3 linked regions of the Daphnia pulex genome follow. The main gene of each other region encodes a partner of the protein of the gene in region 3 in a complex. Links are inferred from orthologs where the notes say so. Each region holds a gene or a part of one and is shown on either strand. Other genes may lie near its edges.

Region 1 (4,294 bases), on a different chromosome or scaffold from region 3:
AAAGTCGCTATGGAATTGTTTAATCAGTATTATTTCAATTTGGAAAAATGGGAAATTTAGATGTTTTCAAACTTACCGTAAGACTCTTGAGATTTTTTGAATCCCAACAAAGCCATTGTGCGAATATTTTGTTCGGTGAGGGAATTGGAAACCGTTTGGGCCGGGAAGTGGCATAACCAAGATAAAGCATAGTAGGCGTGAGCCAGGGGGACGCTACGAGGGAGGAACTCTGAGCGAATGGTTTCGGCATCTTCGGGACGCAGCTGAAGCTTCTTCTGTGTTAATATAAGCAACTGCTGTACAATCAGTACATCTCGACACAATTCCAACCTGCGAAAGTAACATCATTTTAATTTAAAAAGGTAATGAAACATTTTCTGAATTACTACCTTAAATCAGCCATCTGTCGGGATGATTCGGCTAATGCTCCCAATCCAAGACTTCCATTGAAAAGCAAACGAAAGGAACTTTTATTATTGAAGGAAACTTCGCCAAATTTGGGATCGCCTCCATTCATGCCGACGCTGAGCTGTTGGAGAAGAACAGACAAGGCCAGGCAAATGTCAACAGAAGACAAAGCCATTTGGACAGCGTTGAGCAAATTAATTGATTCGTTCTCCAGCAGTTCATCAGCAATATCCCTGGCAATTTGATCTGCACTTTCCAACTGAAACATTGATTGATCAAAGCGCTTTATTTGCTCCGTTGACAAACTATCGCTGACCACAAACAGAATCTGTAAAAGAACAAAATTCGTCAAAATCTATGTACACAACAAATAAAAGAAATGTTACCTCGAGCAGAGCAGTAAGGCCAGAAGTTGATTGCTGACCCCCGAAAAGCGAAGCAATTCCACTCGAAAATGGCTGCATATCCCAGCGACGGCCTCGTTGCAAAACCAAACTCTCAACCAGATCCAACGGACGCAAAAATGAAACCATTCCTCGTTTAAGTAGAGCATGGAAGCCAGTTTCGTCATCAATGAGTAAACCAACAGGAATTGGCCGCTTCAAATGATACTGAACAGCATAGGCGTAGAATTGGGCCCAGTATTTGGCCGAAAGTTGCAGATAAAGTTCTTCTGTCACATCATCTGCATCGGAAATCTGCTCTTTCAGTTCAACCTCGATAGCCATAATGATGTCTTCTTTTATATCTCCAGGTCTCCTCCTACTTGTCGATGCCGAACGATCAAAAGCTTGCAGAGCCTTACTCAAGGTTGAAATCGAGAATACGCCCGGTTTGAAAAGTGCCTGCATGTACGCTTGTTTAGGGTCAACGACGGTATCGTCGTATTCAATTTCCGAATCGACGCCAGGTTCCAACGCAACCTGTTGCCACTCTAGCAGGGTCGTTTCGGCGAATTCCAACAGATATTCACCCCGCGAAGTGCTCCATAGTGCATAAAGGTGATTTGAAGTCAGGCTGAAGTCGATTAAACGACTATGTTGTGCAGTAACGGATGACTGGAAATTGAGCTTGAGTGTAGGGCCCGTCTGTAGATCAATGAGAAGAAAAGATCTATTCTTGCCAAAGGACGAGAAGACGACCAGTTTGAAGTCGACGCCGTCAGGACACCACCGGATTCTGTGAAGAGAGCCAAGCTGCTTGACTGATTTGTCTCCGAAGAATTCAACCAAATCGAACTCCAAACGACACTCCTGGGTTGCTGCTGACCAAATTCGCAATTTCAAGCCTTTGCTGACGGCCAGCACAAGAACGTCGTCATTTGTCGGCAATAAACAAATGCTTGCCGTAGTATCTTCGTTTTCCTGTGATGAGCTTCCTCTTAACACAGTAGGCAGGTAACCAGAAAGTAAACGTGATAAATTTGAGGAAGGCTGCAAATTATATGTGGTAACTGCCGAAGGAGATTGACCCATACGAATGAGAGAAATCGACGAAGTGTTTGCCAAAGCAAACAATGCTTCTTTACTTTTTCCAGAAAAGTAAGATGCAGCAGTGCTGGGGAGTGAAAAATTGGTGGCGGTGCTGTTGATGACCTGGTGGCTCAATGATTCCCTCAACCAGGGAAGGGATGCTTCAGTAAAGATGGATGGTACAGAAATGTTGGTCCCCATTGAGTTGAATGCTGTAGGATCATTGTGTTTTTTTGGATGTGGTAGAACCAAACGATGAACTGAAGATATGGTGGAGACGAGAATAACTACATTATTTTTTGTTTCATGAATGGATGTCCCCTCTAATAATGGAAGGCCTTGAAATCTGATTCGAAGACAGTTGCCGTGTAAGTTCAAGTCTAAACTGTGTTCTACTAGCTCCAGGACATCATTGGAAATTTGCCTGTTCAAAACAAATAATACAGAATGAGTCTTACTTACAGCAGCATTTAAATTATGTAAATGATAGCTGTACCAGCATATGAAACGGTTCCGAGTGACAGTTGAATTGGAATCAGTGAAACAGTATCCTCCTGCTGTGCAACCTTCAGGTAGTTTAATATCTTGGAGTGTCAAATGAGTTCCACCTGGTTAAAACAGAATACAGGTCAGTGTTTAAGAAAAGCGACACCGTTTCGGTTGAAAAAGAAAGAACTGTAGCCGGTGTAGCTCAACAAGTTCACTTGAATTACCCGTATTCAGTAATAGTTCCTTCCATTGTTCTATGCCTGTCTGATCTGGAATTACTTCACGCAATCCGAGAAGAGAAAAGCCAGAAAGATTTCCTTTAAGACAACTAGACATGTTTTTAACTCGTTTCTACAGTTGCAATCGCGCGGGCAGCTGAGAAACAAATTCGTTTCAGACGAATCTAAATTTCCAAACCGGCAAACGGCAGAACTACATTTACCGTTCAGCGCCACCTAGCGATTGAAAACCAAACTCGTTGGTACACTAATTTTATGACAAAATTTGAGTTGAGGCAAAAAGAACGAGTATATTCACTAGCAGGCATGACGCCGTGTATTGCTACAAATTACAACACTGCTTTTGGAAAGCGGCATAATAGAATTCTCCACCAAGTGAATAACAAACATAATTAAATCGACAAAAAATGTTTTTAAAATTGTGGAAGAACAACACATGCGCTGAAGTGGGAAAACGCTAATAATATAATGTACGGGTGCGGCTGAAGGTGGGAAACATAAGTTTAAACTACTCTCTTCTTCTTTTTCCCTAGTAATAGAACTGCGTATATTTCGAATTCTGAAAAGCAACTAAGGACCCCGGGGCAACAAAAGAATTCAATCACAATTCTAAGTTCACAATGCGGTGATGCTTAGTTTCTGTTTATGTTCGATATTGTCCAGTTCATGCAAAACCTGAAAAGTGACAAAATGACCAAGTTAGTACATTAAATTCAAAAATTGTAATATTTATTTTTTTTTCATCACCTCGAGAATGGTGGCCATAGACCAGGCTTGAGCTGGACTCGAATCATTACAGACTTTGCCATTTTTATTGGTAAGCTCGGGAAGTGAGCGCCAGGGCGATTGTTGAATTTCGACAAAGTGGCGCGATAAAATAGACTTGACTTTGCGGATGGTTTTTCTGAGTTCGGAGACTCCGCCGACCAATGGAGCGAAATAAAGCATGGCTTGGAGTAGGAAACCAACTGGCCAGAGCCACTCGGGTCCTTGGTGGTAGTTGAAACCGTGAGCCGTGCTGGGATCATCTCCTTCGTCCGAATTGCAATAATCTGGTCGGTAGGACCAATCAGAATTGTCCAAAGTTGCCATGCCCAATGGTCCTAACAAGTGCTGAAGAGCCATTTGTAATGCTTGCCATGCTCTCGATGGTGTAAACATGGTCGGAGCCTTTAAACGTAAACGTAATGAAACAGTTAATGTGAGAAAGATAAAAATGATAGAAATCCGTTATTCTTACCACAGCCATGGCGACCACAAAGTTAGGTCTCAATTGATAATCAGCCCAGGGTTTGGATGCCATATAAGAATCTTTGTAGATGCCTCGACGATTGATAAGCTCAGGATGGGGTTCGGCCGTTGGTTCTGGATCGACATTAATCCAGAAATGTCGCTCAAAGTTGCGATCAATTTGACGAGCCCATTCGTCGTAAGTCCAGCGAGTCTTAGTTCCGTCTTCGTTAACCCGCTCGACGCCGGCGTACGGATAAGTTCCAGCTGTAAACAATTCCCACAAATATCCAACGACGGAGCGAGAAAGGCCAACGATCTCAACAGCAGAACCGTCACGAGGAGTTGCTGGTTCTCCCTTGTTACCGGCCTTAGCGCTTGATCCCATCTTGTCCATCCAAGTTCCGCAATTATGGGCGTTGCCACCGAAAACAAATCCAGTTTCGACGCTGACGC
Region 2 (4,257 bases), on a different chromosome or scaffold from region 3:
ATGAATCTAAAGATTTTTTTTTAATGAAATTTTTTTTCCGTGTATTAGACCCTTGAAAACAGTAAAATTCGTACTTAGTTGATGAAGAATATTTTCGGTCGCTATTTTAGTGTTTCAAAGCATTATCTAAAACAAGCAAATCATTAAAATCTTCTTTCAATACATTCATTAACTGAGCCATTCCTTCTTGCTGTGACTTAAGGACCTATAGGAACGAGATCATTCAAAATGAGACAAAGCTAACAAATTAACTTTAAAAATTGTGACAACTTCCTTACTTGTTTCAGATCATCCAAAACATTTGGTTCAATGTTGTACCTCTCAGTCATTCGTTCCGCTGGCGTAAAGGCAGATTGGCGCATTCTTATTTGCGAAAGCAATTCGTTTAAGCGACCCTGATGTTGACAGTGTAAAACATTATTCTATAAACTTAACATTTAATTAGAAAAATATATATGTTACTCGAAATTGCGTAGGGATGCTTAGTTCATTGTGCACAGACTCTAGCTGCACCCGCAAACGTTCCTCTTCTGGCTGTAGAGCAAAACCTTCTTTCCGAGAACATTCTTGCTTTATAAGAACTTTGAGGATTCGATGTTGCAAGTCGATGTATCGTCGTCGCTGTTCACTTAGCGCAACCGATGTTTCTGATGCACGAGATTGCAGGCTTGCTAATTCCTCAGCTAACTTGTCCAGGGTTCCTTGGTGTCGTCGAGTCTCTTTCTCCTGCAATGATTTATTTTTTTCAACTCAACTATTTGCGTAGTGTGAATAAGTTAAATATAGAAATGCGAACCTGTAGGTGTAAATGACGAACAAGGTCACCAAATCCGATCAGTGGTATGGGTATGAAGTTATCGTGATCAGGATTTTCTGATTGAGCTTGTTTCCAAATGCGAGCGTCAATCCCAGCTGGAGGCGATGCTAGATATTCGCGCAATTGTTCGGGTGATGGTCGGACTCTAGGAACACACGAAACGACTCCAAGTGCGCTGAGCTGACCACGAGCCGACTGCATCATCCCAGATGGTTGTTGATTCCAAAGGAAGTTAGACAATTCAATGGCAGGCACTTTATGAATTGCGCCAGTTGCTGAGCGTTCTTGAACACAAATCAAAACCTCTGTCTTATTTGTGTCTAGGCCAGACACGCCCTCGACGGACACATTCAGATTGGGTTTATTGCCCAGCGCCGTAGTTATCACACTGACTAACTGAGCTTGGTCTCGCCTGCAAATTGAATCCATAAATAAATCTATATGCAATTACGGTTTTTATAATTTTATCTACCGAATATCTGTTTCGGGTTTGTTAAACAGCAAAACAATTATTCCATCTTCATTCTTTCCTTGTGGTAGTTTGCTGTAGCCAATGGCTTTAAAGCGACACAATGAATTCTCTGCAGTATATTGGATAGCACTAGCCGTGCCAGAGTAAAATCCTAGACACCAATAACAATGTGAGTAAAATGAAGACATTCTAATATTTAAATTGAACCGCAATTAAGGTGGAGTCAAACCTTTTCCGGTTCCCCAAGCTGCTTGAAGGAGATTCCAACGAGCCAAGATTGCATCGCGCTCATCACCGTAAATGTTACAGTAAAGTACGGATGAGAGAACAGATTCGACAACAGTACCGGCTTGCTGAGCAGGAGCAAACGTTTGTTGTTGTTGTTGACCAAACAGGCCTGTTGTTGGGGCTGTACTTCCAAATGTAGTTCCCAAAGAAAAGCTACTAGAAGCTGGTGTTGTTATCCCGGTTCCTCCCAGAGATGTTCCAAAAGATCCAAATCCTAATACAGAAAAGTAGTCAAATAATTCGTTCCAAGTCATTCCATAAAAAAATATTACCTGTTCCAGAAAAAAGTCCGGACGACGATGAGACAGCAGGGGCTCCAGTGCCAAAACCGAATCCAGCGTTGCTTGTCTGTGGCTGCCCAAAGCTGAATGATGGAGCTCCACCAGTATTAGTTCCACCGAATCCGAAAGCAGGTGTAGTGGTATTTGTTTGTGTTGCACCAAATCCAAACGATGGAGCAGCTGTGCTAGTTTGGGTGGTACCAAATCCAAACGCTGGAGCACCTGAAGTAGGTTGGGTACTGCCAAAACCAAAAGAAGGTACTGTTGCAGTGGTGTTAGTTTGTTGAGAGCCAAATCCTGATGTTGAAGCAGAATTTTGAGGAGTTCCAAATGAAAAGGACTGATTTGCTGTGCTAACTTGCTGCACACCAAAGCCTCCAAATGGAGTAGTACCAGTCTGACCAGTACCTCCAAACAGCCCTCCTAGAAGTGAAAATGAGTCAAATGCATTGCAACACATAAGTTTAATTCTATAAAATTTTATTTGTTATCTCCTATTTCTATGATAAAATAATGAACAATTCTCAATCAGTGTTGTGCTTGAACAAAAATGATTGCAGCATTTGGTTGGACTAGAAAATGTAATCTCAAGAAAAACTAATAAACAGAAAATAAATGAAAAAGCCATGCATTGTAGCATGTTCAACAACGAAGGCAAAATGATTTCACTTAGATAATTATCATTCAAATATATAGTAATGCTGGAGTTGACACTAGTTTGTGTGTATTACCTGTGTTGGATGTAGTAGACTGGGCTGGTTGGAAAAGACTTCCACTAGAAAATGCCATTTCAAGAATAAGTTATCCTTACTTTCTTGTATAAATCTTATTTGGTATCTGTCTAATTGGTAAAAAAGTCGACAAGCCGATTTTCAATGATATCGTTAGCGTTCACGTTCAAAACTTGAAACTACATTTTTTCTGTGGAAGTAGCGAGAAGAAAGGAGGTATATGCCATCTAGCGGTTAACGATGAAGAACCAATCCTTTAACTTTGGCGGAAGACAGAAAAGCGAAAGTCCACCGCAAATATTTCTATTCCGTTCAACCGAAGAAATTTAAATCAACCTCGTCATTCCCGAAGGTCGTCCATTCTCTCCCCTTTTACACGCAAAAAATTAACACAAGAAATTGATCAGAAAACAAGTTTATTAATGATGATTTAACCAAGACAATTTGCATTACATTCCAATCAATTATTCCAATTTAAGAATGAGTGACGGTTGACAAACGAAATTAAACTGGACGGCAGGTCGTCGAATGGGATTCCATGACGGCTCACGACTTGGGCAGCTAAACATGTGAGGGGCCGCACTTTATGAATCAGTCTTTGAAGGGGGCCGTTCACATATGACGTCACGGGCCGAGGGGGGGGAGGGGGGTGCACCTTGTATGACGAATTGTGACGAGGGGGGGTAGGGGGGGTATTCACAGTGGGACGTCACAAGGCACTACACAAGCGCCACCAAGTGGGATATGTTGGCAACTTCCTAAATTTCTTTTAGTTTTTTGGATCGTTAGAGCAAAGCACCTCGTTTGCTTGACCAATTAAGAAAATAATGAACAACATTGTGTTCTGTATTAAAAACTACAGAAAATACAGAAAATAAAGAATTTTTAGGGGCTCAAACAATTTTTAAAAAGGGAGGGGGGTATCTGACTTTGTGACGTCATATTAGAGGGGGGGTATACCTACTGTGATGAATTGTGACAAAGGGGGGAGGGGGGGGGGTGTAAAATCGTCAAAAAGTCCGTGACGTCATATGTGAACGGCCCCAAGGTAAACATTTGAGATCCCGTTTTCAGCCAGTTCTTTTTCCTTTAGTTTAAAGAGGTCCAAAGGTGTTATGCCCACATCATCGGGCTGGTCGATATGAGCATCCGAGTCCAACAACTGTAACTGGATGGCGTCTATGGTGTTGATCGACCAGCGCTCCCATTCAATACTGGCCAGCACGTGAAGGGCCGTCATTCCGTTGGACGAGGTGGCACTTGGGTCGACTCCGAGTTCCAGTAACAATTTCATGACGTTTAGGGGAAAGAGTTTCGTTATAATTGTGTAGGAGCAGCAGGCAAGATGGAGGAGATTGCCCTTTTCGACTATTTTAAATCTGTAGTCGTCTCCAATGAAATTGTAGAGAGTCCGCTTGAATCGGTGAAGTTCTTGTTCATTCAGTGTTGGAAGGAGTTCAGTCAAAATGTCGATCTGGTCGATAATCAACCATTCGACTCCACCAGTCCATTCGTTTCCGATATAGTAGTCCAGCTTCACATGATGTTCCAAGGAATATTCCATTACGGTCATAATATTGGCGAAGGTGAACTCTTCTCTGTCGGAGCTCGGCAGGTCCATGAGCTCGATGAAACTTCCAACCATGATTTTAATTACTTTGGTGATCA
Region 3 (3,632 bases):
GATGCAGTTACAGGTTGTTGAGGTTTGGTGGCAGGCTGTTCGGTTTTGTTAGGCTCTCCAGGTTTGCTAGTCTCACAAGATGGACACTTCATCACACTAGGGTCGTTGCGCAAGAGGCAGCCCTGGCATTCCCAGGATCCTTCTTTGGGTTTAAACTTCTCACCGAACGTTTGAGGTTCTTGGCCTTTCATTTCTTTCGCTGCTTCGACTTTTTCAATACTGATGTCAGCAGATTTCTTCTGGGCTTCATCGAAAACGCCCTTGAACTTCTGGGCCTGATCCATGGTTTTGAACCTCAGTGCAAAGGTTTCCTGAACTAGTTCACCCTCAGAAAAATCTTGTGCAGACCATGTCCATGTACGGTCTGATGTCTGCAAAGGCTTCGGTGACAGCTGAGGAGTAATGTAATGGTTGCAACAGATTTTGAGAACCTGATCTCTTCTCATCAACAAACGAGCTCGGCCAGTGATTTTATGTTCCAAAATCTTCATTTCACCTCTTCCCTTTTCCTTCCACTCTTTGGTTTCAGTAACGTAGCGATAGAGGATGGCTCGATCGATAAATAACAACTTTTCTTCTTCTTCGCCAGTCGATACTTCAATTAAGGCAGGTAATGGGATTACTGGCTCAAAGACAACATTGGGTTCATAATGTTCTCCTTCATTTTCCTCTCCATCCTCCTCCTTGCTCGTATCTTTCGTCTTATCGCTCGGAGTAGTTGATCCGAAAAGTGGTGTTCCGGTTCCAGGGAACTCCTAGAATTTAAAACATGACAAGTCTGTTATATGAAATTGCACAAAATTACAATTGAAAATGTAGAAACATACTTTGTTTGGAGCAATGGTAAAACCGGTCGAAGACTGCTGTTGGGCTAACAGAGAAAACAGCATACCAGGTTCAGCCTTCTTTTCTCCAGCGTCTTTATTTGCAACGCCTCCGAACCCCCCAAAGGAGAAACCAGCAAATGGGCTAGGCTTGTCTTCGGATTTTTTCTCATCTGAAGGCGCCTTTGGTGCTAAAGCAGGAGTCGGATTGCTATTAAAAGAAAAGCCGGCGAAAGGACTAGGCTTGACTTCTTGTTTCTTTTCCTCCAATGGTTTTTCTGGTGTTACAGCAGCAGGAACCGGCGTGGAAAAGGAAAAACTTCCAAAAATTGGTTTAGTTTCAACTGCTGATTTGGGAGTCCCAAAAATTGAGCCAGGTAGCACGGAAGACGTCGGTGTTACTCCAGTTGTGGTTGACGGTGTCACTTTGGTGGTGACGTCGGTTTGACCATTAGTTTGAGCCGTGACTACGGCCGTAGCCAATTTGGGAGGTGAAAATGAAAATGGAGCTTTCGATACCACGGTTTCCGTTGAGGAAGACGGCAGAGCGAATGAAAAAGCAGGTTTGCTTCCTCCAAACGAAAACGCTGCAGAGCTTGATGTTACCGCAGCCGAGCTGGGCGTCGTCGTTACTCCAAAAACAGGTGTAGTTGTTGAAGTCGGTGTTGCGGCAGCCACACCAAACCTAATTGTAGCAGGAGCTGATGTAGTAACGGGAGTTGGAGTTGAAAAACTAAAAGAAGGCGCTGTCGAGGCTGGTGTTGTTGCGGCAGCTGGAACTCCAAACTTCATGCCACTAAACGCGGGAGCTCCAGTTGAAGGTGTTGATGAGAATGTAAATCCCGTGCTAGCAGGGGTAGTCGTTACCGTGGTAGTTTTGAACGCCGTAGGTGTTGTCGAAGCAACAGATGCTACAGAAGGCATTCCAAATTTCATTTGAGAGAAAGGAGTTGGGGCTGGTGCTTGAGCTTCTGTCCCTGGTTTGAGTGTTTCGCAGGATACACATTTGGTAGCTTCTGCCGAATTGTTGACATAGCACATTCTGCAAGCCCATGATCCACTTTTGGGAGCAAATTTGTCCCCAAATCCTTTAACTGGTGCTTCGCTAGCCTTTTTGTCTGTTGTAGTTGCAGTATCAGGCTTAGGTTTAACAACATCGGCTGTTTTGGCCTTTTCAAAGGCTTCTTTGAATTCAGTGGATATTTCTTGAGTTTTGAATTTGGCAGCAAATTTTTCCAGTTTTGCTTCGCCATCTGCAAAATCCATGGCGGCCCAGATCCACGAATTGGCTGAATTATTCATTTCGGATAATTTGATGTCCGCCGTAATTGTGTGATTGGCACAAATCTTGAAGACCTAGATAACAGAGAACAACAAATAATTAATCCTGCGATCATAGAAATAGAAACAACCCATCCTACTTGATCACGGCGCATCAGCAATCGAACTTTCTTCGTAGTCGGGTCTTGAAGAAGTTTTAGTTGGCCAACACCACGCTCTTTCCATTGGTTCTCGGCAAAACGGAAAAGTTTGGCCCTTTGATCGAAAAGTACGTCTTCACCTTCTTCTCCAGTCTTTACTTCCACTTCTTCCGGTAAAGGAATAATAGGTTTGAAATCTGGGTAGTTGTCAACCTCCTCTTCTGGAGCGTAGCTTCCATCAGAACAAGTGGATGCTTTGCGATCACGGGCTGATTTAGATTTATCCGGAGTGGTAACAGATGAAAACTCTGGCTCTGGGATATTGGCAAGCAGGCTTCGAGTAGAAAGCTGGATGGCTGGAGATAAAGTATTATCAACTATTTTCTCCGGTGTAGCCTGTGTGGGAACATTAATCTGATATGCGTGAGGAGCAGGGGCAGTGGAAGATGCTGAATAACCAGCTGCCGCTCTGCGGAGGGCCTCAGAAGCCGATTCCACGTCGTTTATGGGTGTTGGTGCAGTGCTGATTACGGTAGGTTGCTGTAAAGTTGCTGCAAGCAGTGATGTATCTTTTGTTCCAATTCGGGAAAAAACAGACGGAGCTGGGGGTTGGGCAGCAATCTGCTGTTGAATAGGTGGAGCAACCATCCCAGGGGGCAAATAAGTCGATCCTGGTGACGGAGTTGTAACTTGGTCCATTCCCCAATGGGGTATTCCCGGTGGATACGAATAAGTTGGCGTAACGGGGAAAGGACCTGGTGCACCTGGAACTCCTACGTACGGAAAGCCTGGATATTGCTGGTATGCAGAAGGGTGGAATGGAGCTCCATAGGTCGGTGGATATCCGTATGCCGGTCTCGTTGCAGGAGCAAATGGAGGAGCATACAACGGCATATTGATCTGGGGGGCAGAGGGACCAGAGCTCTTCAATTTTCCTTTCAATTTCACTAAATTATCGAGGTCGGTTTCTTCCTCCTCGTCTTCTTGTTCTTCCCAATCTTCCACGTCGCCATCTTCGTAGCATCTATCATCATAGGTCTCAGATGCCTTTTCAGACGACTTTTTCCGACTCTCTTTCACTTCATGTTTTGCTTGCATCTCAAGATGTGACTCCAATTTTTGTATCAAAGTTTTGATGTCCACGACTTCGGCCCGAATTTGTTTTAATTCAGTTGAAATTGCTTGGTTAAATTCCTCCTAAATATTCAATTGATACATTACATAAATGAATTGAAGGGACAACTGTTATGTCAAACTTACCTGTCGCTGCACCATTTGTCTAAGTTGAGCGTCCAAACGTTCGGGGCTAGGTCTCGCTTCAGCTCGTGTGCTTGTTTCAAGACGACTTGCAAGGGACGTTCCGTTGCGCATTGAAGTCATGTTCATC

What was found.
Region 1: E3 SUMO-protein ligase RanBP2-like (region 3) and nuclear pore complex protein Nup160-like share a complex: the UniProt entries of both Drosophila melanogaster proteins name them as parts of the nuclear pore complex. The link is inferred for Daphnia pulex from reciprocal best matches to the Drosophila melanogaster genes Nup358 and Nup160.
Region 2: E3 SUMO-protein ligase RanBP2-like (region 3) and nuclear pore complex protein Nup54-like share a complex: the UniProt entries of both Drosophila melanogaster proteins name them as parts of the nuclear pore complex. The link is inferred for Daphnia pulex from reciprocal best matches to the Drosophila melanogaster genes Nup358 and Nup54.

The regions. Positions count from the first base shown.
Region 1 is NC_060017.1:6,360,005-6,364,298, forward strand, and holds the start of nuclear pore complex protein Nup160-like, read right to left. Parts: upstream 2,829-4,294; 5' UTR 2,706-2,828; coding exon 2,594-2,705; intron 2,489-2,593; coding exon 2,377-2,488; intron 2,305-2,376; coding exon 795-2,304; intron 737-794; coding exon 390-736; intron 331-389; coding exon 77-330; intron 8-76; coding exon 1-7. Other genes in the region: glycogen debranching enzyme-like, read right to left, coding at 3,224-3,283, 3,356-3,778, 3,849-4,294. UniProt on the Drosophila melanogaster protein: Functions as a component of the nuclear pore complex (NPC). Involved in poly(A)+ RNA transport. Required for nuclear import of Mad. May play a role in double strand break DNA repair. Essential for nephrocyte development.
Region 2 is NC_060022.1:6,652,622-6,656,878, forward strand, and holds the start of nuclear pore complex protein Nup54-like, read right to left. Parts: upstream 2,819-4,257; 5' UTR 2,648-2,818; coding exon 2,590-2,647; intron 2,282-2,589; coding exon 1,850-2,281; intron 1,792-1,849; coding exon 1,519-1,791; intron 1,441-1,518; coding exon 1,290-1,440; intron 1,230-1,289; coding exon 797-1,229; intron 727-796; coding exon 463-726; intron 396-462; coding exon 279-395; intron 206-278; coding exon 107-205; 3' UTR 1-106. UniProt on the Drosophila melanogaster protein: Component of the nuclear pore complex (NPC), a complex required for the trafficking across the nuclear envelope. Essential for the nuclear import of nuclear localization signal (NLS)-containing proteins in an importin alpha/importin beta-dependent manner.
Region 3 is NC_060024.1:12,890,329-12,893,960, reverse strand, and holds part of E3 SUMO-protein ligase RanBP2-like, read right to left. Parts: coding exon 3,506-3,632; intron 3,443-3,505; coding exon 2,246-3,442; intron 2,181-2,245; coding exon 828-2,180; intron 756-827; coding exon 1-755. UniProt on the Drosophila melanogaster protein: E3 SUMO-protein ligase. Component of the nuclear pore complex (NPC), a complex required for trafficking across the nuclear envelope.